Linked DNA regions of Arabidopsis thaliana. The protein of the gene in region 1 interacts with the protein of each later gene in a pairwise test. Each region holds a gene or a part of one and is shown in the gene's direction. Other genes may lie near its edges.

What was found.
Region 2: the proteins of PIN3 (region 1) and FYPP1 interact in a protein complementation assay, tested with the Arabidopsis thaliana proteins (one study listed by BioGRID).
Region 3: the proteins of PIN3 (region 1) and FYPP3 interact in a protein complementation assay, tested with the Arabidopsis thaliana proteins (one study listed by BioGRID).
Region 4: the proteins of PIN3 (region 1) and SAL1 interact in a protein complementation assay, tested with the Arabidopsis thaliana proteins (one study listed by BioGRID).

What each region holds. Positions count from the first base shown.
Region 1 is NC_003070.9:26,740,000-26,748,468, forward strand, and holds PIN3 (Auxin efflux carrier family protein), read left to right. Parts: upstream 1-2,940; 5' UTR 2,941-3,170; coding exon 3,171-4,401; intron 4,402-4,476; coding exon 4,477-4,780; intron 4,781-4,860; coding exon 4,861-4,946; intron 4,947-5,382; coding exon 5,383-5,540; intron 5,541-5,625; coding exon 5,626-5,702; intron 5,703-5,805; coding exon 5,806-5,872; 3' UTR 5,873-6,470; downstream 6,471-8,469. UniProt on the Arabidopsis thaliana protein: Acts as a component of the auxin efflux carrier; this activity is enhanced when activated by PID-mediated phosphorylation. Seems to be involved in the lateral auxin transport system.
Region 2 is NC_003070.9:18,655,567-18,664,096, forward strand, and holds FYPP1 (Calcineurin-like metallo-phosphoesterase superfamily protein), read left to right. Parts: upstream 1-2,941; 5' UTR 2,942-3,327; coding exon 3,328-3,408; intron 3,409-3,858; coding exon 3,859-4,005; intron 4,006-4,090; coding exon 4,091-4,158; intron 4,159-4,374; coding exon 4,375-4,432; intron 4,433-4,791; coding exon 4,792-4,902; intron 4,903-5,014; coding exon 5,015-5,065; intron 5,066-5,170; coding exon 5,171-5,314; intron 5,315-5,411; coding exon 5,412-5,507; intron 5,508-5,596; coding exon 5,597-5,668; intron 5,669-6,022; coding exon 6,023-6,106; 3' UTR 6,107-6,486; downstream 6,487-8,530. Other genes in the region: VIIIA (P-loop containing nucleoside triphosphate hydrolases superfamily protein), read left to right, coding at 41-176, 263-392, 478-624, 728-795, 884-1,540; AT1G50380 (Prolyl oligopeptidase family protein), read left to right, coding at 6,716-7,085, 7,233-7,516, 7,618-7,812, 8,032-8,378. UniProt on the Arabidopsis thaliana protein: Catalytic subunit of protein phosphatase 6 (PP6). Dephosphorylates phosphorylated phytochromes, with a preference toward Pfr forms.
Region 3 is NC_003074.8:6,958,209-6,966,595, forward strand, and holds FYPP3 (flower-specific, phytochrome-associated protein phosphatase 3), read left to right. Parts: upstream 1-3,527; 5' UTR 3,528-3,799; coding exon 3,800-3,880; intron 3,881-4,166; coding exon 4,167-4,313; intron 4,314-4,400; coding exon 4,401-4,468; intron 4,469-4,709; coding exon 4,710-4,767; intron 4,768-5,255; coding exon 5,256-5,366; intron 5,367-5,449; coding exon 5,450-5,500; intron 5,501-5,605; coding exon 5,606-5,749; intron 5,750-5,839; coding exon 5,840-5,935; intron 5,936-6,028; coding exon 6,029-6,100; intron 6,101-6,469; coding exon 6,470-6,553; 3' UTR 6,554-6,998; downstream 6,999-8,387. Other genes in the region: AT3G19970 (alpha/beta-Hydrolases superfamily protein), read left to right, coding at 1,436-2,172, 2,261-2,366, 2,538-2,728, 2,889-3,159; AT3G19990 (E3 ubiquitin-protein ligase), read left to right, coding at 7,388-8,371. UniProt on the Arabidopsis thaliana protein: Catalytic subunit of protein phosphatase 6 (PP6). Dephosphorylates phosphorylated phytochromes, with a preference toward Pfr forms.
Region 4 is NC_003076.8:25,607,254-25,613,821, forward strand, and holds SAL1 (SAL1 phosphatase-like protein), read left to right. Parts: upstream 1-2,748; coding exon 2,749-2,814; intron 2,815-3,040; coding exon 3,041-3,116; intron 3,117-3,222; coding exon 3,223-3,296; intron 3,297-3,393; coding exon 3,394-3,599; intron 3,600-3,718; coding exon 3,719-4,034; intron 4,035-4,125; coding exon 4,126-4,279; intron 4,280-4,379; coding exon 4,380-4,549; downstream 4,550-6,568. Other genes in the region: RGLG3 (Copine (Calcium-dependent phospholipid-binding protein) family), read right to left, coding at 103-253, 369-487, 565-670, 748-925, 1,005-1,118, 1,204-1,344, 1,431-1,515, 1,595-1,663; AT5G63990 (Inositol monophosphatase family protein), read left to right, coding at 6,134-6,199. UniProt on the Arabidopsis thaliana protein: Phosphatase that converts adenosine 3'-phosphate 5'-phosphosulfate (PAPS) to adenosine 5'-phosphosulfate (APS) and 3'(2')-phosphoadenosine 5'-phosphate (PAP) to AMP. May regulate the flux of sulfur in the sulfur-activation pathway by converting PAPS to APS.

The sequences.
Region 1 (8,469 bases):
TTAAAAATTCTTGAGAAGGTTTATAAAAATGGTATGTTTAGAGGGGGAAAAAACAAACAAATTACTCTATTTGATTCTTAATCTTGTAATTTAAAGAACTCAGAAGTATTTTAAACTGAATAAAACTGTAAATTGTTTTTTATATGAAAATTAGTGGACCATATATCATACATAATCTATTGTTTTTTTACATAAATGCATTGTGTTACCGTTACTTCAAATTCATACATTGCAATATACGGAAAAACTTTTATAGATGATATCTCTTTACAAAACCTAAAAATAACACTAGAACGATACTTTTGCGACACTGAAAAATATTATCACATCATCATTATGATTACAAAGATGATTCAGTCGTGTACGTTATAACATGTCGAAATTCATGGTCACAAATCACACCCATCTGTCATTCTCTTTCTTGGACTTCCTAAATAACTTTTAGCCTTTTTCCCAGATTATATTCAATAATTGACGATCGATAACTTTAAACTATTCATTCTTTAAGAGTGAGTAAATTGAAAAGTTTATGAACATTTCACATTCTTTAATCACGTGTTTAAGCCACCAGTAGCCATCATTGTTCACTTTCAAGATTGTCTAAATCGCTTCGACGTACCACTTCTTTTGAAGAACTGGAATCAATATTGATCGTCCGAAGTTTTAACCACTCATTTGATTTGTATCAATATATAACTGCCAAATTCTTATGTGTTTTAGTGTTTATTTCATACGGCTAAACCGTATACTTTTGTTCACGTGTATCTTTGATTATTTAACCACAAACATAATTTTATTGCATATAGTGTGTTTATTAAATGATACTGTACTTTAGTTTCTGTTTTGTATAATACTTCTTTTTCTTTACAATAATATTTTAGTACTCTATTGAACTCAAAGTTTGACCAAAATTTTAGATGATATTTTTGTAACAATTAAAAGAGGGCACATTTTTAAACTTAGCCATAAACATTTTGAGTCACTCAGTCATAGCCTTATACGCACAACACTGTGTGTACTAGCTTTATTGTGGAATATGTATATTTTTGTGTAGATCTTTATGTACATTAGCTAGAATTATCAATTATATAAACACTTAAACAGATGGAATAATTTGGTAGTTAATGGAAATGGTTAAGCTGACATATGAAGTGCTTCCAAAAGTTCCCTAAATCTTTTGCCGATATCTAGGATTATTTATTTTGTTAATTGAATGTCAATTGAGTGAAAATATTAAGATATAATAATAGGTTGATTCGATTATGATAAATAGTTGAATAAAGTGTATAATATGGTTTTGTAAGGACGGCAGATTTTATCTTAGCTTAAATCACAATTAATCATTCATGTTTGGACTTATTCGAGGAAGTTGTGTCAAGTAATATTTTATGCAATCAGAAAGATACAGCAACACTAAGTCACAAGAAGGTCACGACATTCTCTGTCTCAGCCATTTACTCATGTGAAACTTTGGCTCTGTACTAAAAAGGTAGTAATGCCCATATCGGGAAAAAAAATTATAAGAATAAAATACAGGAAAATATTTTTTTCTACTATATAAGTGATTTAATGATATATTAACTAAATTTATACAATAAATTGAGCTATTTGGTTTTGTAAAACTCATAAATAAAAATGACATATATTAACTATACTCATAAGTACTACATTGTGATGATAATATTTTAAAACTCAAATATCAAATCAATAAATGTCTAATATCAATTTCATTGATAATTCATTTTTGAATTTTATTTCTCTATTAATCTATTTAAAAAGATATGTTTACCGCTAGCCTCCAACCACTAGTTAGAGGTTAACCACTGTAGTTCTAATTTCAGTTCATCTCAATTTTTGTTTTGGTTAAAAAGTTTAAACCGATCATCTCTACACTAAATTCAGATTTTAGTTTATGTGAACAAATAATTCCGAAGCGACGTGTTAACTAATATCATGAAGGGGAATTAGACAGAAGCTTAACGATGAGAATATAGGCTAAAATTTATGTCGTCCAAGGAGTAATTGAGTGTTGCCTACTTCACGAGACAAATAAGTAAACCTAACAATAACACATAGACACACTCGACGCCATTAGCCAAATTCCATTTGAGCCATCCAATTCCTTAGTGGATCTTCTTTGTCTCCAGCCCATCTTGTCTCCTTATTTTTCTAATGATTACTTTATAAAAAGTGTTTTATCAAACATCACAAAATATAAAAAGAATTTCCAAATACTTTTGATATTTAACTATTGCTTTTTTGATTATTAGCCGGGGTACCAAGATATTAGTTTTTAATTTAGTAATATACCCATATGTTTAATATTGATATCGATATTGATTTATTCATATTACGAAAATGGATTAGTTAGAGAATGTGAAAGAAAGGTAAAGTAAAATATTGAAAAGCAAAGATTAGGGGACAGAAGAGAAAAGGTATGTCTCTGCCATGCCCATCCCCAAAAGTAGAGTGCCACATGTAGACCTTCTTCTTAAGATCTAACTCAGATGCTATTTGTACAAGTAAAAAATGTGGCAGACTCAGTTTCTATTTTTCCATATTTTACTTTAATCTTCATGAATCATAAAAAATGAAAAATCAAGCACATGAATGTCACTGAAATTATTCAACAATATTCTTATTTATCAGTTATTTTAATTATTTGACTATTTATGTGTATGTTGTTATCTACAATATGTCCGTTTCAATCAGTCGAACAAAAAATACTAGATTTTAGTTATGTAGTATAAAATATAAAAATGTTGAAAAACACTCTAACCATTAATTTGTATTATTTTAAACTTTCCATATGATGAGATGTATTATTCAATATAATAATAAAAAGAATATTATTTAATAATTAAACAAAAACATAATAAATCTTATAAACAATATCTTAAAAGAAAAGAACTATATTGTTATTTTTTTGATAAGATCGATAAAAAATGTAACATACTAAAGAATAAATAAAATAAAATAAATTAGTAAAAAGGAACTTGGGTGGTCACGTATTTGCTGTATAAAGAGGTGTAAAGTGGCATCCTTCCTTAAATTATATCCTCAAAAACCAAACTTGCTCACTCCACACACACACTGCTCCCAAGTCCTCTCACTTCTTCTTCTTCCTCCGACACCGTTGCTTAACGGTTTTCCATTTTTGTCCCTTCAAGATGATCTCATGGCACGACCTCTACACGGTCCTCACCGCCGTGATTCCTCTCTACGTGGCCATGATCCTCGCTTACGGCTCTGTCCGGTGGTGGAAAATCTTCTCACCCGACCAATGCTCCGGAATCAACCGTTTTGTCGCCATCTTCGCCGTCCCTCTCCTCTCTTTTCACTTCATCTCCACCAACAATCCTTACGCAATGAATCTCCGGTTCATCGCCGCCGACACTCTCCAAAAAATCATCATGTTGTCACTTTTAGTCCTATGGGCTAATTTCACTCGCTCCGGTAGCCTCGAGTGGAGCATCACAATCTTTTCCCTCTCCACACTTCCCAACACTCTTGTTATGGGGATTCCTCTCTTGATCGCCATGTATGGCGAATACTCTGGTTCCCTCATGGTCCAAATCGTCGTCCTCCAGTGTATCATCTGGTACACGCTTCTCCTTTTTCTCTTCGAGTTTCGTGGCGCCAAGATGCTCATCATGGAGCAGTTCCCTGAGACGGCTGCTTCCATTGTTTCTTTCAAAGTCGAATCCGACGTCGTTTCGCTCGACGGCCATGATTTTCTTGAGACCGATGCAGAGATAGGTGACGACGGGAAGCTTCACGTCACCGTGAGAAAATCCAACGCTTCACGTCGTTCGTTCTGCGGCCCGAACATGACTCCACGGCCGTCAAATCTCACCGGAGCTGAGATTTATAGTCTCAGCACCACTCCTAGAGGCTCTAATTTCAACCACTCTGATTTTTACAACATGATGGGTTTCCCCGGTGGTCGTCTCTCCAATTTCGGTCCGGCGGATATGTACTCCGTTCAATCATCTAGAGGTCCAACTCCTCGACCTTCAAACTTCGAGGAGAATTGCGCCATGGCATCCTCCCCGAGATTCGGGTATTACCCTGGAGGAGGAGCCGGGTCTTATCCGGCTCCGAATCCAGAGTTCTCTTCAACCACCACATCTACCGCCAATAAAAGCGTCAATAAAAACCCGAAAGACGTTAATACGAATCAGCAGACGACTCTTCCAACGGGCGGCAAGTCAAACAGCCATGACGCCAAGGAGCTTCACATGTTCGTCTGGAGCTCAAACGGGTCACCCGTTTCAGACCGGGCGGGTCTTAACGTTTTCGGCGGAGCACCTGACAACGATCAAGGCGGAAGATCTGACCAAGGTGCTAAAGAGATCCGTATGTTAGTCCCAGATCAATCTCACAACGGCGAGACCAAAGGTTAGCAATCTTTAGATAACTTTCTTGATAAGTCACTGCAAATTTTCTCAATTCTGTTTTGTGTGGTGAATATAGCTGTAGCTCATCCAGCAAGTGGAGATTTCGGAGGAGAACAACAATTTAGTTTCGCCGGAAAAGAAGAAGAAGCAGAGAGACCAAAAGACGCCGAGAATGGTCTAAACAAACTTGCTCCAAATTCCACGGCGGCGCTACAATCCAAGACAGGTCTAGGAGGAGCCGAAGCAAGTCAACGAAAAAATATGCCTCCGGCGAGTGTGATGACAAGGCTGATACTGATAATGGTTTGGAGGAAACTCATCAGAAACCCAAACACTTACTCTAGTCTCATTGGACTTATTTGGGCTCTCGTCGCTTTCCGGTTAGTAAATCAAAATTAATTGTTTTCTTAACTCGAACCAACCGGTTATCGGGAAATTTATTCCGGTTTTTGAATTGAAGGTGGCACGTGGCAATGCCCAAAATCATTCAACAATCTATCTCCATTCTATCTGATGCTGGTCTTGGAATGGCAATGTTTAGTTTGGGTAAGTCTTTCTTCGTACTCTGTTTTTATTCCTCTCGAAATTTTAGTTTTGAAGCCATTTAAATGAATAAATATGATTCATACCAAACGTCTTACTTGTCACGGAAAATTTCTAAATTTTGCATATTTCGTTGACATATTAACTCATTTACATAACAATGGAATTAAATTAGGTAGTTCATAAATTTATATGCTGTTTTTGTCATTGTGATTTATATTATGAAAAACAAAAAATTGGGGATGGACCATCCGACAGGTGGGGCTATGTTGTGAGTGTCTTATTAGATAAATGGTAATGGTGGACGACATGGTCTCGTGTTGTTGATAGTCGTCATGGTCCCCATTTTTATGGGACTTTATTGGATTTATTCTAGATATATAAAATTTTATTGATTACCTGATTTTGAAATTAAACTTTATGTGAAATAATCGTGAAGGGTTGTTCATGGCGTTGCAACCCAAATTAATCGCTTGTGGGAATTCAGTGGCAACGTTTGCCATGGCGGTTAGGTTCCTTACGGGTCCGGCCGTGATGGCGGTTGCTGCTATAGCCATCGGATTACGTGGTGATTTACTGCGTGTCGCTATAGTTCAGGTAAAATTTTCTCTCTCTTTTTTTGGTTAAAACTATTTTTGGTGTAATATGAAAAATGTGAAAATGTTTTGGTATGGTTTTTTAGGCCGCATTACCTCAAGGAATTGTGCCCTTTGTGTTTGCGAAGGAGTACAATGTTCATCCTGCTATTTTAAGTACAGGGTAAGTCAAAGATTTTATGATAATTATTCCATTAGCATATATGATTACTAATGCAATCCTTTCAATAACATTTAACATTGTGATAACTTGAATGACTTTTCAGGGTAATATTTGGAATGCTTATAGCGCTTCCGATCACGCTGGTTTACTACATTCTACTCGGGTTATAAGCTTTCGGTTATGAAAGCCCCGAGAAAGAGTCAATTGTAGAGGGAGAAGGAAGAAAGGGAAACTAGAGAGTGTCTCATGGAACAAACTAAAAAAAGCTTAGAGTATGTAAGTACAACTAGGGAGTAGCATGATTTAAGGAATGCTGATGCCAACATTACAAGCCAAGAAACCCTTTCTTCTCCCATATTTTTTATATATAGAATATTGGGAGATTATTTGAGTGAGACAATGGGACGCAGATAAGGAGGAGCAAAACATGGGGCAACGAGACAAAGAAAAGATAAATAAAAGATTGGAAGATGAAGACAACTTATTATTTTTGTAACTTTTATTTTTCTTACACAGTCTTTTTTTTTTTTTTTTTGTGTTCTTTGATTAGGTTCGGGTAACTCTTAGTTGATTATTGTGTAGATTTTTTTTAGCGAAGAAAAGTGTGGTTTTGATTTTGAATATTCCCTTGTTCCAGTTTCACATGAGCAAATAACGCTTTAAAAGTAAACAGTTTATATTATTATTCTTAATTAGTACTATTGTGATCAAATTTGGTGGCTTTACTGATTCTTTTCTGCTGTAGTAAATGATGAGAGTCGTAGTGGGAGAATTGGGTTAGGCGCTTTGGCACTGAAAGCATTTCGTGTTATCATTAGTTTAAGCTGGTAGTGATGTAATTAATAGTCCATGTAGTGTGTGTAGGGATGATGAACAATAATTATTTAAAAACAAAAAGATAAAGAAAAGGCAAAAAGATAATTAAAAGTCAAAAAAGCTTTGTCTAAAGTTTAATAAAAAGCTCCTTTTCATTTCTTTATTTGTTTTCTCTCTTTCGAAATTGATTTTTTAAGAAAGTAGAGTATTTTTTTTTCTGTCAACAAAGTAAAAAATGGATATAAGCAAATTGACTGAAAACGACCGTGTTTAGTTTTTATTAATGTAGTTTATCAGAGTTTTCCGCCATTTTTTCTCGTGTTGCGGGCCGATTTTTCCTTCCTAATATTTGAAGTATAGTTAACCATGCGTTTGTTGGATATAAAGTATGTTTAACAATGAAATATTTTTGTGTTTGCCCCCAATTTTTTTTTTAATTGTTTTTGTATTTGAGACAATGGAATCTTAATTTTATGTCATATTAGTTTTAATTACTAATAAAATTTAAACTAAAAAATATAGAAGTTTTGCAGATTTTGTTGATAAATTAATTAATCTAAGAAAACACCACTCTGATTATGAAAACATGAAAAGTATTCCAACTTCTTTTTTTTTGGATAAAATATGGAATATTTATACTACTTTTGAAATTTCGACATAAATTACAAAAAAATATAAGTAGCGGAACAATTAAAATCTACAAAAAAAATTAACATTAACAAAACGACGAAGAACGACAAAGAATCGAAACCTGTGGTTTATACACTCAATCCTGGCGTAAAACGATAACAGTATTCAGTATTCACTAATGAGGGTTTAATATGATTAAGTAAGTAATTAGTGGATAACTCGTTGATTGGGCTCCGAGTACCAATTGAATGTGTTGTCGCATTGGATGGGAACATAATGGGACGCAAATCGAAAGAAGTCTTAAAGCCGTTAATCCACCGTCACGACCTAAAAAACTGGTCGGCTAATCTATAATTAAATTGATTATCAAGATTAGCAAGTGTCTCTATTTAAGAGGTCTCATTAGACCAACATGCGTCGCACAAAACCTGTAATGGGCTCCGTGCACCTCCATTTCAATCAGTTAGTATAATTATAACTCTCGTTGTTTAATTTTAGCCAATGGATTTTTTGTTATTATCGAAAATTCGTCACGGAATCAGAAACATTTATCGGTAGCATCGTTAATTCGTTTAAGTATTTTGGATTCTCGATAGAAGGGGATTGTCTCGGTGATATATTATCGTGACAAAAATCGATGCATGTTAATTGAATCTCCTATAAAATTGTAAAATTTTTATTTTTATTTTTGTAAGGGAGAGCGAAGTACACGTATATATGAATATTGTGTGTAGTTTATGGACTATATAAGCCATATGACTAATATATTAAAAAATTATACAAACTTTATACGTAAACTAAATATAATTTAAATGATTTTGTTTCAAAGAGAACGGTATTTATAATGTCAGTTTTTCAGATGAAAAATGTATAATGCAAACAGAACCACTATCAGTTTTCACATATCACAATCAAAATATGGTAGGTAACATGACATATAACAAATATGAAGACGGGAAAAAATATTGTCATTTTCGAGCAAGAAACATACATGGACCAAGATCGGTTTATAGACTTATAGTACGTGTGAGATACTGAGATGTGTGTTTGAGGAGCAAGTTCTGAAAGACCATATGTACACTAAACGCGCTAATGGTTTTCGAATATTCGTTGTTTAATTTCCTATAAAGTTCACAATAAAACAATATAACTTGAACGTGTAAGAAAACTAGTAGTTTTTTTTTTTTTTTTTGCACAACATTTATAATTACTAGTCATTCTCAAAGAGGGAAGGGTTACAAAAGTAGGAGTCTAATGTTTGAAATGTTCGAAAGACCAGAAGCATCAAACAATTTCTTACTTTTTATATATGTATGTAAAG
Region 2 (8,530 bases), 8.1 Mb from region 1:
TGTTGAATGGTCATGCTGTTTTTCTTTTGTCATACTTTAGGTATGGTTTCCTTCTGCTGGAGAACATTGCAGCAAAAGATCCTCTAAGTGTTTCGGTTGCAATTCTCCATCAGTTTAATATCTTGCCAGAGATGTACCAAGTTGGCTACACAAAATTGTTTTTCAGAACTGGCCAGGTACTATAACTAGTCGTCTGATGTCTTGACTTTAGGGGCCACAAATTAGACATTCTTACTGCAGTATACTTGCTTCACCATTGCAGATTGGGGTTCTTGAAGATACAAGGAATCGCACTCTGCATGGCATTTTACGTCTTCAAAGTTATTTTAGAGGGCACCAAGCTCGCTGTCGTCTAAAAGAGCTTAAAACCGGAATTACTATTCTTCAATCATGTATTGCCCCTTGTCTCATTTCAATATCTTGGTTTGTATTTGTTATGTCGTTAGAAACCATACCTCACACATCCTTCTGTTTCAGTTGTTCGTGGAGAAAAGATGAGAAAGGAATACACGGAGTTACTGCAGAGGCATCGAGCTTCTGCTGCTATACAAAGCCATGTTAAGAGAAGGATTGCTAGCCAACAGTATAAAGCCACAGTTGATGCATCTGCTGTAATACAATCAGGTAAAATAGGGTTGATTAATTCTCATGATTGAAACAAATTAAACCTCAAAATATATTTTTAAAAAATAGAAGTTTCAAGAAATGCTGAAACCTTTTTCTGTAGCAATTCGTGGAGAGCTGGTTAGAAGATGTGCGGGGGATATTGGATGGCTTAGTTCTGGTGGCACCAAGGTCCTCTCAAAGCTTTCATTCTCTTCGTGCATTTGACTACATGATATATATGCATATTGCTAGACTCTTAAACCAATTCTTTATGTAGAGAAATGAGTCAGACGAGGTGCTAGTGAAGGCATCATATCTTTCCGATCTTCAGCGTAGGGTTCTTAGAACCGAAGCTGCTCTTCGTGAGAAAGAAGAGGAGAACGACATCCTCCGACAAAGAGTCCAGCAGTACGATAACCGGTGGTCTGAATATGAAACAAAGATGAAATCCATGGAAGAAATTTGGCAAAAGCAGATGAAATCTTTGCAATCCAGTCTTTCCATCGCAAAGAAAAGCCTAGAGGTTGAGGACTCAGCGAGAAACTCGGATGCATCGGTGAATGCAAGCGATGCAACAGATTTAGATTCAGGAGGTAGTCATTACCAAATGGGCCATGGCAGGTCAAGAAGTGTAGGCGTGGGTTTAAGCGTGATAAGCCGGTTAGCTGAGGAATTTGGACAAAGAGCTCAGGTATTTGGTGACGACAGAAAGTTCTTGATGGAAGTGAAATCTGGTCAGGTGGAAGCAAACTTGAATCCGGACCGGGAGCTACGAAGGCTGAAACAGATGTTTGAGACATGGAAGAAAGATTATGGAGGGAGACTAAGGGAAACGAAACTGATACTTAGCAAACTTGGGAGTGAAGAAACAGGTGGTTCAGCGGAGAAGGTGAAGATGAATTGGTGGGGGAGGTTGAGGAGTACTAGGTATTAATGGTTACTTCCTTTTCTTGAGACGCACGTCTCCTTTTCTACACGTTTGATGTAACTACGGTTTTTGGCTTTGCTGCTAGAAGTGAGAAGGCTCCTTGGGACTGAAAGAGTCATGTTTTTCATTTGCCACCCAAATCTATTGGCAAATTCAGTAAATAATTTTTATATTATACAGTATATCTATTTGTCAAGGATTCCAAAGTCCAGTGAACCATTGCTGTATTTGAATATAAATAGTCGTTGCAAAAACAAATCAATATTTATATTTCTTAAATAGTTAAGTTTTTTATCAAGCTAATTAAAATGGACATAGCGAGAAATAACTACAAGGTGGTAAACTATGATAATAATATAAATTTCCTTACAAGTTTGTTTGTTTGTAAACATATGGAGTTAGAAAGGGAAAAAAAAATTGTATAGATTTTATACAAGATTGTTTTGAGTTTAAAAAATCTTTATCGTGTTTGGACAATGTGTATTTTAAAAACTATTTAACTACTAGTTTTTTTGGCCGATTTCAGTGATATCTCGACTTAGACTCTACAAAAATTTAGATAATTTGATGGATAAAATTACATATGATAAATCATGCACTTGTATCAGATGGTCAGTTGGTGGAATCCCTCTTCAACAAGTGATCTTTCTTGGAATGTTGTCGTGGGTTAAAAAAAAACTCAATCCAGCCCAAACCCGAAATGAACATGTCTGAGAAAAATCATTTCTATTCTTGCAGCTGAGTAAACTCTTCACAATTTAAATTTCGAATTACCTTTGCGATGCATCACTTTTTTAAGTGGAACTAAGTTTCGGATCACCTCTCGACCAAGTATAAACCAAACCAACACCAATATATACTTTCCGTAATATTTGGCCCTCCGACTAGTGATTTTTTCGGATGTAATTTGAACATTGGAGATTTTTTGGTGAGACAAATTCCATTTTGTCATTTTTAGAGGTCATCATAACAATACTTTTCCTTCTCAAATTATCCCTAACCAGAAGCCAAATGGGAAGACCCAAACATAAACATTGAAATGAATCGAGTGAGGTTCGCTCTTGAACGATCGTATTGCTAATGCCTATCCAAGATCATTGATTCATTTCTAACATATCCCGTACGGTCTCCCACAAACAACCTTCCTCAAAAGTTCAACATCACATAGATTTCGAAATGTGTCTTTAGACACAATTTGTTTAACAAGACTTTTAAATAATTTTTTTTAGGAGTTTTTAATTATCAAAAAGGTCTTACTCAAATTCAACAACACATATATCGAAATGTGTTTTTTTAAAAAAATTAAAAAGAAGAAAAAATACTATAAAGAAGGTTTAAGTATTTGTGGAATTTTATTTAGGTGTTATCAATTGTCACATTCAAGTAGACAAATAAAATTACCAAGAAAAGAATTGCAAAAACATTGAAAATGTGTAGTATACTCCATTAAAGATTTGTGTAATGAAGTAATAGATAAAAATTAAATTGATGTTTAATATGTTGCCAAAAAAATGATTAAAAATAAATATCCAACGAATAGAGTTTGGGGATGGAGGAAGACCAAATCGGGTTCGGGTCGAGATTGTTTGGTTCGTTGTGTTTCCCCTTTCTCTCTCTCTCCCTCTTTCCCCCTTACGTAACCCTAAGCGGACGGAGCAATGCTCTGCTAGATCTATCTTTCTTTCAATTCTTCACCAGAGATCGTCGAGACTCACCATTGAAATCGAAGAAACAGCACCAATTTCCACTTCACCACCGAAAGAGAGAGACAGAGAGGATAATAAAAGGCCGCCATGGATTTAGATCAATGGATTTCCAAGGTTAAAGACGGCCAACATCTCTCTGAGGACGAGCTTCAACTTCTCTGCGAATACGTACGCCTTCTTCTTCTTTCTTCTTTCTTCTCTTGCTTGCTTTCTCTTCCCCGAATATTCATGCATCTACAAAAACCCAATTCTTCGCTTACTCTTTTGAGACTTTAGAGCTTGCTTTGTGGCACTTTACTTTGAATCTGGTCTCTCTCCCTTACTGTTTCCTTTGCCATTTTGGTCTACGGATTTTAGGGTTTTTCTCTCATTTTTCCAATAGAGGATTTATTGACTTTGCTATTTCAATTCTAAATTCTAAGGAATTAGGGATAAGTTTAGCTCTTCTTTAGCCAATTTATGGATGCACCAAGTCCACGCTTGCAAACTGTTATTTGAGGATTTATTATAGTAATTTTAGTGTTGAAACTTGTAGTAGCAGCCGTCTTCTTCTTTTTTCATGACAATGATTTGCTAAGATACTCTGGTAATTCACAAGATATTTTGACTATTATATAGGTGAAAGAAATTCTTATTGAGGAATCAAATGTACAACCTGTCAACAGTCCTGTCACCGTCTGTGGTGATATCCATGGCCAGTTTCATGATCTTATGAAACTTTTCCAGACCGGAGGTCATGTTCCCGAGACCAATTACATATTTATGGTATAGACTCTGACTTTGGGCGTAGGCTCGTATGACATATCAATATGTAACACATAGTTTAATTATCTGTGGGGGATTTTCTCAGGGGGATTTCGTTGATAGAGGTTACAACAGTCTTGAAGTTTTCACCATTCTTTTGCTTCTTAAAGCAAGGTAAGATTTTCCGTAGAAATTGTGCGTTATATATGTCATGGATCGTCATCCTTCCGTTTCACACTGTATATCATAGTTCTCTTGAGAATGCTCTTTAAGCTGTAAACGCATTGCTCTACTGGAAAATCGATTTAACTTGTATTCCAGGAAATTTATATTCTAACTTACTTTGCTGTGAGCTTAAAATCACTCGTTTCCTTGTATTTCAATATGTAGACATCCAGCCAATATCACTCTTTTGCGTGGAAATCATGAAAGTAGACAGCTAACTCAGGTATGCATTATTCTAATCCATTTATATCTATTGTTGCTGACTTGCTGTGCTCTTCACGCAGTTACTGGTTGAGAAGTAATTTTCGCTCAATTGTTATAACTAGTTTTGAAAGTTTATTTTGTACATGTGGCAATGCCATGCTAGATATAGGCATAGATGTTAACTAAGATGCATTTTATGTGAACCCTTTGCAACCATAAGTTTTCTTCTCGGAAGCTCTTGATTTATCTCTATCCTACACCATATCCTATATCTTTTAACATCCACTGTCAAGGACGAAGATTGTAGTGATATTTTGTGCCCTGCAGGTTCATTTTTATAGTTTTCTTAAATTGTCGTACCAATTTTATATTTGCTAGGTGTATGGTTTCTATGACGAATGCCAAAGGAAGTATGGTAATGCTAATGCTTGGAGATATTGCACGGATGTTTTTGACTATCTTACACTTTCAGCTATTATAGATGGCACTGTAAGTATTTCTCAGCTTCTTTGGCATTGTGTTATGATGTGTTCTTGTATAATTTTATGAATGCATAAGTTAGCTGTATACCATATTAAAACGTATTGCATCCTCAATGTAGGTTCTATGTGTTCATGGTGGCCTTTCACCTGATGTACGGACAATTGACCAGGTTAAAATGTGCTATTTTAAATTACTTTTGGTTTTCACCATGCAAGTGTTATTTATGATTAGATTAAATCTCATTTACTCATTTAGATGTTATTTTGTTCTCTAGATAAGATTGATTGAGCGGAATTGCGAAATACCGCATGAAGGACCCTTCTGTGATCTTATGTGGAGTGATCCTGAAGATATTGAAACATGGGCTGTCAGTCCACGTGGAGCTGGTTGGCTTTTCGGGTCCAGGGTTACCACTGAGGTATTTATATTTTTTTCTGGGGTTGAAATTTGAATAAGGTGTGAAAAGAAATAAATGTATTTCAGTTCCCTGATCTGTGGTTTTGCTTCTTGTGCAGTTTAACCATATTAACAATCTTGATCTAGTATGTCGCGCTCACCAGCTTGTACAAGAAGGTCTCAAGTACATGTTCCAAGATAAAGGTCTTGTAACTGTAAGTGCCTTGCTTCCTTATGATCATTTTGGATAGTTGGAAGTATAATCTGCTTGGTGATGTTTCTTCTCTTTATTTTTTTTGTAAAGGTGTGGTCTGCGCCTAATTACTGCTACCGTTGTGGGAATGTGGCTTCTATATTGAGTTTCAATGACAACATGGTGAGGCATTTGTTTTCTCTTTTGTTACTGATCTGCCACAATATCTTGTTTCATGTTCTTCTTACTTTTATGCACTCGTCTTCGGATTCTACTTTTCCTTTTTGATTAAATAAGTTACTGCCTTTGATACTTGTCTCTCGACCCAAACATATACACATGAGTGACTCTTGTGAGATAGAGTTATGATGTTTAAGCCATTTATTTAGTAACAATTCACAGTTCGCGTGGAATCAGTCTGTCCATATTGATTGTGCTCTGTGTGTTACTTTTCATATATAGACCTGTTTCTGGGAAGTGTTTAGGATCTGGTCCTCACTGACAGTAATGATTTGTTAAAATATGCTTAATTACCAGGAAAGGGAAGTGAAGTTCTTCACGGAGACAGAAGAGAACAATCAAATGAGAGGGCCAAGGACAGGTGTTCCTTATTTCCTGTGATTCATGATGATGATCCTACATCATTATTAGTCTCGTATTGCTCTTATCAAGTTAGCCATTATCATGATTGCCATTGGCTTATGTTCTTTCAAGGTATATCTTCTGATGTTGTTTACACTTCCATTGTTTTTTTTTTCCTTTTTCCATTTTGGAAACATTTTCTTGTGAAAGTGAATGTCACTTTGGTAATTTTAGTGGTTTTGATGCACTTTAACCTGAACCTCTTCTGGATGTTATTATTATACGTGCTTTCTTTCTTGTTTTGTTTCATCTTTGTTCTGTAAGCAAGACCAATTTTTATCATCTCAGCTTATTTGCAGTTTAGCACGGTTTGATTAGGTTCTGGGTTAATCTCAGGCTTATAAAATTCATCAAGCTCAAAAATAGTCCACTACAAGAACATAGAAGACCATTAATCAACATTCAACAGTAATTTGTTTCTAATCTAATTATTTGGTTTTGTTCAATAATCCTAGCAAAAATTCACGAAAGAGTTAATAATTTTGTAACCGGAATCATAGATAGGCCGGTTTATCCAAACCGGATATGACCTGTCCTCTATTAACAAACTGGTCGCGAGTCTCTAGGCAACTAAAACGGACACGTAATATGATAATAAGGCGTGGACTCGTATCTCTCGGCACTCACTTTCTCGCGACTCGTAGTCGTCTTCTCCACTTCGATACTCCTCTCTCTTGCCTCGTTCCTCTTGTTCCTCGCCGCCGCTCTATTCTACGGCTGTCTTCTTCTTTTTCCTCTTCCTCTGAAACCGGAGCTGCGTCAGTGCGGTTGACATCACCGAGAGACATGGCGGAATCGAGATCCCCTCCTGTAGCGAAGAAGGTGGAGCATGTGATGGAGATGTTCGGTGACGTTAGGGTTGACAATTACTACTGGCTCCGTGACGATTCTCGCACCAATCCCGACATGCTTTCTTATCTTCGTGAAGAAAATCACTACACTGATTTCGTCATGTCTGGTGAGTCTTTTCAAGTTGCCTCTGTCAGTGACGTTGTGATACTTAGGGGATTAGGGTTTTTAGCTTTCCTTGTTTTCAATTTGGAGTATTAGTGACTTGTTGATTATGCAAGCTTGTGATAAATTAGACTGGAAAATAAAAATTCAGGGACCAAGCAATTTGAGAATCAGCTGTTTGCTGAAATAAGAGGGAGGATCAAAGAAGATGATATATCTGCACCTCTACGCAAGGGTCCTTACTATTATTATGAGAAAAATCTTCAAGGAAAGGAATATATTCAGCACTGTAGACGTTTGATCACTGACAACAAAGCTGAGCCTTCTGTCTATGATACTATGCCAACTGGTCCAGATGCTCCTCCTGAGCATGTGATATTGGATGAGAATACCAAGGCTCAAGAGCATGACTACTACAGAATTGGGGCCTTCAAGGTTTGACTAGAAAATAGACTTTAAAAATCGTCCTAAGAGATATCCTTTTCAAACTTGCTCTTTACTAACTTGATGTTTCATTTTCTTGATTCTTTTTATAGGCGAGTCCCGATCATAAATTGGTGGCATATGCAGAGGACACAAAAGGTGATGAGATATATACAGTGAATGTCATCGACTCTGAAGCCCTAAAACCAGTGGGGCAACAGCTTAAAGGACTTACTTCTTATCTTGAATGGGCTGGTAATGATGCTTTGCTCTACATAACAATGGACGAAATCCTGCGACCTGATAAGGTTTACCTTCAATCTTTTCCCACCCTACTGTCTTAGTGTATAGTACTGGAGGAAGGGATTAACTTTTGCATGAATATAGATTTTACCGTTTCGATCAATTGTTGACATTATACACCTCATAGATGCCATATTTTCTTACCAAATTTGACTGTACTTATTATGAGATACGTCAATATTTTTGGCTTTCATGTTCTGATCTTCATATATTCTTTGTAACAGGTTTGGTTACATAAATTAGGGACAGAGCAGAGCAGTGATGTATGCCTTTACCATGAGAAGGATGATATGTTTTCTCTTGAACTCCACGCTTCTGAGAGCCATAAGTATTTATTTGTTGCATCTGAAAGCAAAACTACAAGATTTGTCTTCTCGCTTGATGTGTCCAAGACTCAGGATGGACTCAGGGTGTTGACACCTCGTGTAGATGGAATTGATTCATCTGTCAGTCATCGTGGGAACCACTTTTTCATCCAGAGAAGGAGCACTGAATTTTACAACTCAGAACTGATCGCCTGTCCAGTTGATGACACATCAAAGACAACTGTTCTGCTTCCACATAGAGAAAGGTAAACTTTTTTTGTTAGAATCTGGTTGCCATTGTGGCCTATCCAAAATCCAAATGAAGTATAACTAATTTTAATATCATGTATATCCTTCGGCTTAGACGACATGCATGCTGGGTTGTTTTCCAGTTGCTAGATTAGTTTTATAATGCATT
Region 3 (8,387 bases), on another chromosome or scaffold:
AAAAATTTTATTGGATATCCAAATCGAATATTCTTTTTTTACGTTCAAAAGTTCTTTGCACCGTCCACACGAGTTTTTTTTCCAGCCACAAGAAAATTCGTAAACTGTCTTCTTCGAAACTCTAGCGTGACAGCGTCTCAAACATTCAACTGGTATGAATCACACACGGTGTTGGAATATTTATTTTTAGTTTGGTGCATAATTCAATAGAAATCAAATCCCCTATATTAAAAATATTAAAACAGTCACAAGTTTATGCAAAACATCTAAGTATCTAACACACATAAGAAATATATCAAGATAAGAAAAAATGTCCGTATGACAGCAAATAAGTTGTCTTATTTTGAACCCATACTTAAATGGTATGGCTTTCTCTAGTTCGGTTCTTTATTTGAAGGCAGTAGTATATAATAAACATTATCATTTCTGTTTTTTTTTTGGGGTCATACAATAAAAATTGTGTTTCTTTTTTGCCCTAAACCAAAAATTTCATCTCTCTTTTCCCTCTTCCCGTCTCTATCTCTCTGGTGAGTTTTTCTTCTCTCCTTTCTCCAATTCGTATTTTCTCTCAGATTCTTCAATTGTACGTTGATTAATCTTCTGAAATTCGATTATTTATCGCACCCAATTTATACGCGGTTTTGGATTCTGGGGGAAAAAATGAGTTTTTTGGTTTCGGTCGGTTTATCATTGTCTTATTCGGTGCCTCTTCTCCCGTAGAATGGGAAGGTCGCCATCGCCACGTCGTGTTGCATTTCTTTTCGGGAGAAATTTATGCCATTGATTTTAGCTCTTTTAGGCTTTTTCTTAGTTTTTGGGAAAATTCTTGTGGTGGGTCCTTTGCAAATCTGGGGATTCAATCTCTTTTTTTTTCATTGTTCCATAGGTTTTTGAGGATACAAAATTTCATTGTTCATAGGTTTTTCTCATGATTTCTGGGGGAAGAGAATAAATAATTCCATCTATAAAAATCATCTTTTTTTCATTGTTGGAGGTGGGATCCTCATATGATTTTAGAGATCAAATAATAGAAGAGAAGAGAAAAGCTTGTTTCTTTTCCCCTTTGTGTCAACATCATACGAAATCGTTTCTTTTAGTATCAAGCTTCAAAGAGATGTTTTGACTTGAAACGATTGTTGTCTTGCAGAGAAGCGTTTTTTCGGTGGAGAGAAAGAGAGATTTGACTCTGTCAAGTTATTAGTACATTGAGGTCGGGCTGTCAAAACTTGACAGCCCGAGTTTGAAGCTTCCAGGTAATTTACACCATGTCCTTACAATCTTGGACTCTTACACGCGTTTTAAACATGTGTGTTTGTTTATGTTTGTGTGTCTATACTTATTACAAATCTATCTCATCTTATATAACAGGACTCTTTTTCTATTAATGAGATTGGTATGCTAGATTTGGAGTGTATTGGATTAGATTGTGGCGATCATGGGTTCTTTGTCTGGGATCATTCAACGGCCACTTGTTGCTGCTGCTGCTGTGATTACAGCTTCTGTGTCTGCAGATGTCTCTGAGAGGTTCTCATCTCTTAGATCACTAGTTCGAGGTTCTGAATCAGAGCAGATTGCTCCTTCAGTGTCTGGTTTAGTTCAGGAAGAAAGGTCCTTGTGGGTTTCTCAAGTCTCGGCCTCCAAGCTTGCAGATTTATCTTTTGTGTCGAGGATTTGTGTTCCTGTACCAAATGTTGATCTCCTAGCTTCTAATCCTAGCTGTAGTCTCGCTACTTCTGTTACTTCTCTGTCCGCTCTTCGTAGTGTTTATCAGTCTGCAGAGTTGGCTAAAGCATCGAAACCGGTTGCATTCACAATCGGTGCCTCACTTGTGGTTCCTGATATTTCCTACAGATGGCATTTACCTGAGCCTAGTGCAGTCGATATGTCTGGTTCTTCGAGTTGTGTGTCTGAAAAGAATAGAACTGTTGTGGTTTTGCTTGGATGGCTTGGATCAAAGCAGAAGCATCTGAAGAAATATGCTGATTGGTACACTTCAAAGGGTTACCATGTCATTACATTTACTCTTCCGATGAATGAGATTATGAGTTATCAAGTTGGAGGGAAAGCAGAGAAGAACATCGAGTCGCTGGTTAATCACTTGGCTGATTGGTTGGATGAAGAGCAAAAGAAAAATCTCGTCTTTCACACCTTCAGCAACACCGGGTGGTTAACGTGAGTTTAATATCTCTGTTTTTTTCATGTGCTTACATAGTTACATGGCGGTTTTACATTTTACTAAGCGAGTTTCTCATCTATGCAGATATGGAGCCATTTTGGAAAAGTTTCAGAAGCAAGATTCATCATTGATGGGAAGAGTTAAAGGTTGCATAGTGGACTCAGCTCCTGTTGCTGCTGCAGATCCTACGGTAAGCGATGATTCTTGCATTCATAGCCATGTTTATATGGTCATTTGGCTTGTGCTAAATCATAGGCTTGGATACCTGATTTGCTAGACGCTGATGGGTGCTATTCTTTTTATAGATTTCTGCACTATTCGCTTGAACTTTCTGGATACTAATTTGGCTTTGTTAAAACAGGTATGGGCATCAGGTTTCTCAGCTGCGTTCTTGAAGAAAAGCAGTGTAGCCACTAAAGGATCTGCGAGCTCATCATATGAGTCAAACGGTATAAACATCTCCCAGCCTAAACCCGCTGCAACAGAAACAGCTTTGCTTTTGGTTCTTGAAAAGTTCTTTGCGGTGATTCTAAATCTTCCCAAAGTAAACAGGTAACATACAATAAAACTCCGCGTTTCGTCACTCATTCTTTTACCCAAATCCTATGATTTCACACTAACAAATGCGGGCAATCATATCTCTTCACTCATTCTTGTCACCCATATCCTATGATTTCACACTAACAAATGCGTGCAATCATATTTTTAACAGGAGACTTGCCGATGTTCTTGACACATTATCAACAGCACAACCAAGTTGTCCACAGTTATACATTTACAGCTCTGCAGACAGAGTTATACCGGTGGAACAAGTTGAATCATTCATTGTAGAGCAGAGGAAAGCAGGACATGAGGTCCGTGCTTGCAACTTCATATCTTCACCTCATGTAGACCATTTCCGGAGTAACCCAGAACTGTATACAGCTGAGCTCAACCATTTCATGAACAACTTTGTCCTTTCTTGCTGCCACCATTCTTCATAGCGACTTCCACAAGTGTTGTTGTTGCTAACCATTTTTGGGGTCCTTTTAACTCTTATACAAGAAAGAGAAAAATAGTTACTGATTGATGATTCTTTTTGGTTTGGATTGGTTTATAGATTCAAATTCATTATTCCTTTGTAAATTGTTGGATATTGTACATTTAGGAGAATGAAGATTCAAGAAAGTGACGTCCTTGTCCTTTGTAGTGGAGATTTGGATCTTATGGTTGTCTTTTGTTATTTGTTCAAAGAGGGTTGTTAAGAACCCAATCATAAAGTTTTTGGCAATTCTCATAATTTTTAGAAGTATGAGGGATCACAATCGTATTTCTTATGAGACGCTGGTTCGTCAACGATTGCGTTTTGACAAACGCAAAAGTTTGATTTGCGTTGGAAGCGGCAGAGATCGATCTGGGATCTTTTTTTCTTTTTGCCGTATGTGTCATTTTGTGAAACTCGAACCTCTCATTCTCTCTTTCATCTCCTCCTCTTACGTAACCCTAACGAAGTCGAAGATTCTCTGGTAGATCTATCTCGATTCGATTCGATTCCTCTTTTTTCCCAGAAAAGTCGCTATTGAAATCGAACGAAAGTGTTGAAGATTTTACCAGTCAGAGGTATATATATATAGAGAGAGAGTTATGGATTTGGATCAATGGATTTCCAAGGTTAAAGATGGTCAGCATCTCTCCGAAGACGAGCTTCAGCTTCTCTGCGAATACGTACGCCTTCTTCTTCTTCTTCTTCTTACTTGATTTCTTCTCTTGGTCGATTAAGCTTCTTGTGCTCTTCTCTGCTTGGTTTGATCTGTATTTATATACCTTAGTGGAACGTGACTTCGATCTGGTCTGTAGTGATTTTAGGATTTTTCTTTCTTTTCAACTATGGAGGCATCAATTTTGTAGTTTAGATACCATTTTATGGTCTCCTTTCTCAGCGATTGATTTATAGATTTGCGAAGATGAATCATGGTGTTAACCAGAAGATGTTTATCATAATGTTATACAGGTGAAAGAGATTCTGATTGAGGAGTCAAACGTACAGCCTGTAAACAGTCCAGTCACCGTATGTGGTGATATCCATGGCCAGTTTCATGATCTTATGAAGCTTTTTCAGACCGGAGGTCATGTTCCCGACACCAATTACATTTTTATGGTACCGAGTTTTCTTTTGTGGTGTCTTGTATGACATATTGATATGAAATTATGAATACAATCATAATCTGGTGTGGGAAATTCGCAGGGGGACTTCGTGGATAGAGGTTACAACAGCCTTGAAGTCTTCACTATTCTTTTACTTCTTAAAGCTAGGTAAGGTGCTCATAAATGTTCTGGAGATTCCTGTTATCATTGAATCTTTGCCTTTAAGTTTTTTTTTGTTCGTGCTTAATACGAACTTATTGTTTATTAAGCAATTAATCTTGATAATTATTTATCTTTCTTTGGAAGAAATAGTCCCAGTAACGTATTGCATTCAAAATTAGTCCAAACGAGAATGATATTGTTTCTTTAGCATCTCATGTTTCTCTGTTCTTTGTATTCTAATATGTAGATATCCAGCCAATATTACACTTTTGCGCGGAAATCATGAAAGTAGGCAGCTAACGCAGGTATGTGTTATTCTGTTCCACTTATATCTATTATTCTGCTTTTCACGCTGTTCCTAGGAGGTAAGCAATGTTGATTATCTTCTCGTTGTTACAGCAGGGTTTTGAAAGTTCTGATTTTGTACTACATGTGGCAATGTCATGTCAGATGTAGACATCGATGTTAGCTAAGATGCATTTTATGTGAATCAAGTATTGGAAAGCTAATTTCAGAAGGTGCTTCATATAGTACCAGTCTCCTTTTTAGCATGTGTGTAATCCTTAGTGTTCTAGTTGATACATAGGTTTTTAAGGAAGAAAGTGTGGTGATAATTTTGTATTTGAATGCATTCCTGGCAAACCTTTACTAAGACTTAGTCTGCAATCATACCTCTTAAAGTGCAATTCAAATATGCATTTCGTGAATCTGCTGACTAGATGATCAAAATTATACATGGATTCTCGACATTGAACTCCTTTATAACACAGAACCATTTGATTTACTTTTTTAGGTGTATGGTTTCTATGACGAATGCCAGAGGAAGTATGGTAACGCTAATGCGTGGCGATATTGCACAGATGTTTTTGACTATCTTACCCTGTCAGCTATTATAGATGGCACAGTAAGTGATTTCTTAGCAACTTGGCATTGTTGATGAGAACACATATAGCTGTATGTTATACTAAAATAGTTTGCTTTGTCTAGGTTCTATGTGTTCACGGTGGCCTTTCCCCGGATGTCCGGACAATTGATCAGGTTAAACTCTGCTTTTATTGCTTGTGGCTTTCACCCGTCAATTATGCTTCTAGCTTGGCATGTTATTAAGGTCCTCCACTCACATAGATTTGCTGTGGGCTCTAGATAAGACTGATCGAGCGAAATTGCGAAATTCCTCATGAAGGGCCCTTTTGCGATCTTATGTGGAGTGATCCTGAAGATATTGAAACATGGGCGGTTAGTCCACGTGGAGCTGGTTGGCTTTTCGGATCCAGGGTTACCACTGAGGTATGTTTACTTTCTCAAAAGCTTGAATTGATACTGTAACTAAGAAATTAATTTCACATCTCTGATCTTTGGTTCTGGCTTCTTGTGCAGTTTAACCATATCAACAAGCTGGATCTAGTATGCCGCGCGCACCAACTTGTACAAGAAGGTCTTAAGTACATGTTCCAAGATAAAGGCCTTGTAACTGTGAGTGTCCTGCTTCTAATGAATTGATATTTTTTATTAGTGGGCGTTTTGAAACTCTGCTTAGTGATTGTTAATTTTGTTTTGTTTGTGAAGGTATGGTCTGCACCTAATTACTGTTACCGCTGTGGGAATGTCGCTTCTATATTGAGTTTCAATGACAACATGGTGAGCCTCTCTTAGTCTTTCCTAAATGAATACTCTAATCTTCTCTGTCAGCAAGAAGGGATTCTATTACTTCAGTGATTTTAATCATTTCTTTTAAGATTCTACTCTATCAAAATATGTACACTCTTGTTGATTTGCTATGTGCCTCTTTGAATTAATGGATCTAGGAAGATTATAGAAAGTAATTTAGAGAATTTAAATCAAGTAAGCCATGTGCAATGAGGTTTGAATATCTGTGTGAGCCATAGATTCTGTTTCTGCATTTGTAGTGGATTTTCATTGACCATAGATTCAAGCTGTCTGTGCTACTAGGATCCTCCTTCCTGCATGGGTTAGTGATGAAATCGATTGAAATGTTTGTATTACCAGGAAAGGGAAGTGAAGTTCTTCACAGAGACAGAAGAGAACAATCAAATGAGAGGGCCAAGGACTGGAGTTCCGTATTTCCTATGAAGAATCACACTTATTATATTTGCTGTGATGATGAAGCCATTGCTGCCATTGGCAATATGTTCAGTTCAATGTGGAAAAGGTTAATATATGATTATATATATTATCTACTGATGGGTTTCGCTTACTATCATTATTTTTGTCCTTTAGGTTACATTTCCCTTGTGAAAGTTACAAGTCAAACACTTTGGTAATAGTCTTAGTCATTTTGATTCTCTGCTCTCTTTTCTTTCCCCCAATCTTTCTTCTGTAATGTTATTTTTTTCATTGTTCACTTGTACTGTTTCCTCTGTTTTTGTTGTTGTTGTTGTGAAGATGACATTAATTCTAAAATAATCAAACATCGTTACAAATGGGACAGTATCGCAACAATAAATGAATACCTGTCGGTCTCGAGCTATTCAATCATTTCATTCGGCTTTTGGTGTGTTGCCTTTCAGATCTATGATACAGATTGTTGTCTCAAGTAATGGAGAGAGGGGTAGTCCTTACAATAAAAAAAAAAAGTTATTATATGCAGTCATGAATGTGGTAAAAAGAATTGCAATTTTTAGTTTGTAATTTTCAGTTAATTAATCTTCACTATATAACTACACTCCTATGAGTTGCTCAGTGAGTTGCATGCTTGTATGATTTAAAATTAATAGTAACTCTTTTTATTACAAAACAGTGAAACACTATGAGAAGTGGGGGAGTTCAGTTCTTGTTCTGTTTGCCGATGAACATCAATGTTGCTTGGTCATCTAATAGAGGGAAATCATAAAATATTAACCTGGTGGTCCTGGTCAATGGTTTTTTTAAAAGAGTCATTGTTTAAGTCTTTTTTTTTTTTTTTTAATGCTAATAAAAAGGTTTAATCCTCCATGCTGGAGAAGCGATCATCATCAACCGAAAGAGAGTAATAGAGACAAAATGGGTTCATCATCATCTCCATCCCCGAACGACGCCGTACTGGAATCAGCCCGACCTTTTCTCCGAGGAGAGCTTGAAAAGATCGACCCCAAACTCCCGTCGTTAATCGCCGTCCTCAAAAGCGTCGGTGCCGGCGAGTGTTGGCACAAACACGGAAGCTTCCTAGATCACTTAATCGATATCTACAAGATCCTCAAGCTATGGAAAGCTCCTGAATCCGTCTGTCTCTGTGGTCTATTCCACTCTGCTTACTCCAATTCCTATGTCAATTTAGCTATTTTCGATCCTTCCACTGGTCGTGACGTCGTCCGTGATCACGTCGGTGAAGCTGCCGAGTCGTTGATCCATCTCTTCTGCGTTGTACCGAGACAAACTCTGATTCACGATGAGCTTTTGTTTAAGTACTCTGATTGTGAGCTCGTTGAGCATCTTGATTGTTCTGAGGTTTCGTTGAGGAACGCAAAGGAGAAAGGGATTTTTGATGGAGATGAAGAGTGGAGGAAGAAGATTAATGCTTTGGTTCCTGAGAACGGTGTTGTTGTGAAGCATATCAAGACAGGTGAAGAAATCGTTGTTTCGAGGAGAGTTGTTGGTGTTTTCTTGTTAATGACAATGGCGGATTTTAGTGATCAGCTTTTTGGGTTCCAAGATGAGTTGTTCTGTAATCATGATGGGAGACTTGAGTTTAGAGGGAACAACGTGACTGCGTTGTGGCCTGGGAATGGGAAGCCTGGACTGTGGATGAATTCTAATTCGAGAATGGGAGCGATTTATAGTTTGATTGTGAGAGAAGAGGAGATTTTGATGGAAGAGAGGAGAAGGGCTTTTGGTTCTGGGTTTGAAGTGAGGAAGGAAAGAGATGAGGATATAGATCTTGTCGTGCCTCCAGTTTTCAGCTTCTGCACCAAGGTATTCTTAGTTAGCT
Region 4 (6,568 bases), on another chromosome or scaffold:
CTTTTTGAAAAACAAAAGGAATGTAAATCTCAGTATCAGAGAAACTGAGTATACTCATTGACAAAAGAACAGAAACAAAGGCAGAAATAATAGAGTATTTACCGGCACTGTGGAAGGAGCGAGTCTGTCACTTTTCTCTGCAGTTTCTGTCATCTGATTTGGCACCGATCTAACAGCATTGTCACGCTCTATAACCTCTGGTGGTGGCGGGAGTGGCTTGTGGTGCTGATGGGAACTGCGCACTGGTTTTCTACTGTTCATAAGCACAATCAAAGGTTGGTTTAGTTGGCAAAGAATCTAATGCAATAAGACCATAAACAGTGAGTGATACAAGTAGTTTCCAACGGTAAATTTTTTATTGCATTTACTTGAGACTTAATGTAGCCTTGTATTGAAAAGGGATCTCCATGAGAGCTGCGAGTGCGAAAGCAGCCTCCTTCTTAGCCGCATCTTTGTGCTCTGACATTATCTTCGTGAAGTTTACAAACTGTGGAACAAAACACAGTTTTTCATGATTCATGTTTCAGGAACAAAACAGAGCTATTCAGGGTTTTATTATATTACCTGGAAGTTATCGAATTCACGGTGAGGAATATTGTCATCGAATTGTTTCATTGTGTCCCATGGTCCATCTCCTACTCCAACCAAGACTATCGACAATGGGTAATGGCTGGAAAATTTATATCAAACATCATTAGTATACATATGAAGTCTGATCATGAATATGAGCTTATTGAATAGTTTTACCTCGCTGCCATTATCGAGTTCATAGTAGCTTCTTCCTGTGGACTAAGTCGACCAAGCGGCACATCTGGATTTCTTGTGACCTGACCATCTGCGATAATGACGAGAACATGGTATTGCATATTGTTCTGCTCAACTATGTTGATGGCAGCATCAATAACCGGTGCAAACGAGGTAGGACCTGTGAGGGAAGAATACACTGATTAATCTTTACGATAAGAGAGAACAAAACTGCTCCATTTTTGAAAGTTCAAAAATACCGGACAACTTCAAATGTGGGACAATCTCTCTATATCTTTTAACTGCGTTTTCCAATCCGTCGCAGCTTTTGTTCTCGGGATAAAAGCTGAATACATATTGATCTCGCGTTGTTACTGCAGGAAGAAGAAAACATAAAACCATTAAGAACTTTGGTTTATCTTATTCATTCATCTTGAAAGCAAGAAATAAGAAACTAACCATCGCCAAAACCGAAACAAGGTATAAGATCATCTTCATCAAAGGGAGACAAAGTACGACCAATAATCGATATTGCTTTCTCATATGGATTCTGTCTTTTACCAATGGCATGAAGGCTTTTTCTATTGAATGAATATCTCCCTGCAATGAAAATTCAGAACATTAACCAAAACCATTGAATCTTTTCGTAAACATGTGTAGCATTTTTTATCAAATCAAATAATTACCTGTCCACTCATTGCTCTTGGTAAAGTCAATTCCTAGAATCAGATTTGAAGATTCAAGTCCAGCTTCTCTCAGAGAAGTTATCACCTAAAAAGCAAAGTTCACAAGAAATTCATCACTATGAAAGAGACTAAAATCAAGAAATAACTAAGTAAGTTTATGAGACCTGATCCAAACTGCTGAAATGATCAGCAATATACGAAGGTTGCTGATTACGTTTATTGCTCATGTTCATTGAAAAAACCCTGCAGCACAAGAACCTTCAGAAATCCAATCTTTGGAGAAGAAACCAATCAAAATCAAGAATAAAAGATACAGTTACACAAGTGGCAAGTATATATCAACCTGGAGTTTGTTGAAAACACAAAAGACTTCTCGGAATCTTTCTTGTAAGAAAAAACTTTTGTTGGAGATTATCTTCTGTAGGAAGATTAAATTATTAAAAAGATGGCACAAAAGAGAAATATGAACATATAAAAATACTTTAGCAGAAAAAAATGAACATATAAAACTATAGAAAGTGGGTTTTGTTGAATCTTGAAAGTTAGTGGAACGTGACCCTTTGCTTGCGCCGGCAAATAATCAAAACGTATTTTGCTCTCTCACACGCCATCATCAATCTAGAAATCTTTTTTAGTCTTGTCTCTGCGTCATTAATGATTTATCCATAACCCAAAATCATAGACCAAATTTCAACATGATTCATGTGGACAACGTGGCAAAGCTGTAGCTCTTGTCTGAAGAAAATTATTTGGGCTTTTGATTCCCTCAAAATATATTAACCCAGAACCGTTTTTATTGGGCTTCTTCATTCATCAAGAAGCCTTTTTGTATCTTCACCACCTATAAATTCACTTATGTTTCAACCACAACATCCACGTGCGATTAGCCCAAAACTCAACAACCAATCTACGAAGATCACTAAAGTTTTTTATTTTTATGATTTTCACCGTTTGTACTTGTTCTTTCAATTGGTGCCACATGGACCCCTAAACCAACAGAGCAAATATGGCCTTTCTTGATCTAAAATAAAGTTTAGGGTTTAAGTTCAGAGAATAAATAAGTACACTGGTGTAAATGGGAAATTCAAAAAAGTAATAATAATTGTCTCTGCAATCAGAAAATGTGAAGACATATATTTATCTTCTTGAAAAGCGAATGATGTCTATAAATTGTTTTCGAACAGCGAAGGCTCCGCTTCAATCATTTGTAGCAGTAAGAACGAATTCGAGACCTAGAAATTCATCGAACCGTCTCGTTTCTGTATTCGGACGCAAGTCTTCTTCTCCTTCATTTGTTACTCTCAGAGTTGTTTCATCGATGGCTTACGAGAAAGAGCTTGATGCTGCTAAGAAAGCTGCTTCACTCGCTGCTCGTCTCTGTCAGGTTAGGGTTTTTTCGATTCAATCATGACCCATAGATTCTAAAGTTTGATTCTTTAAGAAACCCATTTTGTAAATCTTCCAAATTTCGTTTAACATTTTGTGTTTATTGTGCATTGCATCTGTAATTGGGAATAGATTCTAGTGATATAGTGTAATGGTCCTCTACATACGAAGCTCGTGTAAATCTTTGATCAAAATCTTATCTTTGTGTTTTGGGTTTGTTTCAGAAAGTTCAAAAGGCTTTGTTGCAATCAGATGTGCAATCAAAATCTGATAAAAGTCCAGTGACCGTTGCTGATTATGGTTAGTTTGTTATACCTGTCCCTGATTAGAAAAAGCTCTTCTCTTTGAATGTTACTGAGATTGTTAGGAAATCACTTAATTTGATCTGTCTTGTGTTGAATTTCAGGTTCACAAGCAGTTGTTAGTTTAGTCTTAGAAAAAGAGCTCAGTTCTGAACCCTTTTCATTGGTGGCTGAAGAGGTGAAACTGCTTAATAAATCCTTGTTAGATGTCTCACACTTTACTTATCTTTGAGTTTGTGTTTATGGACTCACATTGTCTAAAATGATCTATATAGGACTCAGGCGATCTACGCAAGGATGGTTCTCAGGATACTCTGGAGCGCATCACAAAACTCGTGAACGACACTTTGGCTACCGAGGAATCGTTTAATGGCTCTACTTTGTCTACTGATGATCTACTTAGAGCCATTGACTGTGGAACATCTGAAGGTGGTCCAAATGGTCGACACTGGGTCTTGGATCCAATTGATGGCACTAAAGGGTACGTTTTAAAACTAACTAGCCTAAAGTCAAATCTTCTTATTTCAGAGAAAATGTAAATTTGATAGAATGTTGAGTCAGATGTTATGTTCCTGACACTGAGCATTTTCATGATTTTAGATTTCTGAGGGGAGATCAATACGCAGTAGCACTAGGATTGCTCGAGGAAGGGAAAGTAGTTTTAGGTGTGCTTGCTTGTCCAAACTTGCCGTTAGCATCCATAGCAGGAAACAACAAGAACAAATCTTCGTCAGACGAAATTGGATGCCTCTTCTTTGCTACAATTGGTTCAGGGACATATATGCAGCTCCTAGATTCAAAATCTTCTCCTGTAAAAGTGCAAGTCTCTAGTGTTGAGAATCCTGAAGAGGCATCGTTCTTCGAGTCATTCGAAGGAGCTCACTCTCTACATGACTTATCCAGCTCCATTGCCAATGTAAATTGCTTCTTTCCTTCCATGTGATTCCAGCTAATAGCTAACTAATTTTCCTCATCCATTTGATCATGTTCTATGTTGTAATATACAGAAACTCGGTGTCAAAGCTCCACCAGTCCGTATTGATAGCCAAGCAAAGTATGGAGCTTTATCAAGAGGAGATGGAGCTATATACTTACGGTTTCCTCATAAAGGATACCGCGAAAAGATTTGGGACCATGTCGCTGGTGCTATAGTTGTTACAGGTAACATTAAAGCTTACTCTCTATGAAGCTAATTTTATAGTGTCGACATGCGGATGTAAATAGATAAGGAATGCAAGGTTGATTCTTCTTTTTGGTGCAGAGGCGGGTGGAATAGTGACAGATGCAGCAGGAAAGCCACTGGATTTCTCGAAAGGGAAGTATCTTGATTTGGACACAGGCATTATCGTTGCTAACGAGAAGCTAATGCCTCTGCTTTTGAAAGCAGTTCGTGACTCCATAGCTGAGCAAGAGAAAGCTTCAGCTCTCTGATTTGTTTTTTTCTCTCGTACGTTCTTTGTTTCTCTGTAACTGTTGTTTCATTTTCTTTCACCGAATTTCACCAGTGAGAATTTCTTCCATTTTCGAAAAAGAAATAAAAATGAAATTCTGTTTTGGGCTAAGTATAAAGGGTTATGTAGAGAATTTAATATGGACCAGTAACGGGCCGTAAAAAGGCCTTTTAAGGGTTACATGCATGATGCACCGACGTACGTGTCTACAGTGCGTAGATACTTTATCTTAATACGAAAGTAAGCGCGTTAAGTAGAAAATCTCTTCATATAGAAATAATTAATATGGTGTAAATAGTTTTTTTTTTTCTTTGGTTATAGTATAACTAAAATATTATTGTGTACCATCTTACAAAAAAATATATATTATTGTGCAACTTTTAGAAATTCGTGATTTTATTCCCAATAATATCCCATTCACGATGAAAGGAATCGTTGAGACTTTGTAAATAATTAAATGTAGTCTAGTGATCTAGTCAAACTTTATAAAGGGGCGATCACAAATCTACTAGTCGCACAATTTTTTTTAATCTTTTCATGTGAATAATATATACTAGCTGCTTTGTTTTTAATCCATGTTACAAAGATATTTTGTGTTAATAATGATAAGTTGTTGATATAACACACAATAACCTGTTTTCAGCGAAAGATTTGACAAGACCTGGCCACACAAAAGGTACACACGTCATTTACAATATCTATAAAAGCAATTTGCAATATAATTTAATTAAGATTAGCATACCTCTAATTATTAATTTAGTAAGCTAGTATAAAAGAAGAGGGAAAAAGGAAGAAGAAGCATATAACCTCTTTGGAATAAAAGCATATCAGAAAAGACTAAACAAATACAACGAACCCAAAATAATTTAATTAGAAAGTTGAGAATCATATACTATTTCTTGCCAAACATAAAATTAATCAGGATTGTTATCTTCACCTACAAAAAGAAAGCAAACTTACCGAAATTACATATATATTACTAAATAAAATATAAAAATCTGAATTCATATAAAATGAAATATCTCTCTCTAAGAAAATATCTTCCTATTGGACCAATTCATTCTTGGATTGTTTACATGTATTTATGTTTTCCTCATTTGGATTATAGCAGTTTTGCAATATGCCATCTGAAATCTGCAGAGTATTCTAATAATAATAAAACTTTTTAAAATGTACAAAATTATAAAATAAAAATAAAACTATTAATTAAAAAATAGTATAAAATTTTGGTGAGTATAATAAACAAAATAAAGAGAGGAATGAGACAACGTGAGAGAAACTTATCATTGTCGCAACGGTAGGGGACTCTATACTTTGCCTACTTTTCCACAACGGTAGAGAGATTGGCAAATAAATACATTTTAAATACCAAAAACCAAACTATATTCAATCAACTAATTATTATTTTATTAGTATTACGTATATTTCTAAATCAAAATAAAAATTGGGAAGAGAAGTTGCTTCAGAGTCGCGAGAGGTTTTTCCATTCATATCATAAAAATCGATTCTTTCAGAGATTTTCTTCTTCAACTTCGTGGTACTCTTTTGCTTTACCCATTTTTCAATGTCTTACGATGAGATGCTTTCTGCTGCGAAGAAAGCTGTTTCTCTCGCTGCTCGTCTCAGCAACGTACGATCACTCGTTTCTTCCGTCTTTTGGATCATCACATGATTGATTCTCTGCGATTTCTCGATTTACATTTTAAACCATAAATTCTTCTCTTTTTTCTTCTTCTTATTGCTCGTTGACATTTGCGATACGTGTTCGAGGAGAGTTAGATGTTTTCTTTGAACTCTTTTGTGGAGTTAAATGTGTAGACTTTTTCTTCTTGTTTCCTGTAAATTGTCAACTGATATGAGTATTTTCGAATTAGGATGTGAAAATCTGAGATTTTTTATTTATGAAAAAATATGAAATGGGGATCTAGCTAGACGTGACTGAAATCTTCGATCTTGTTATCTCTTCGGTTTCAATGTTTATAGGAATTGGGTTTTTGTT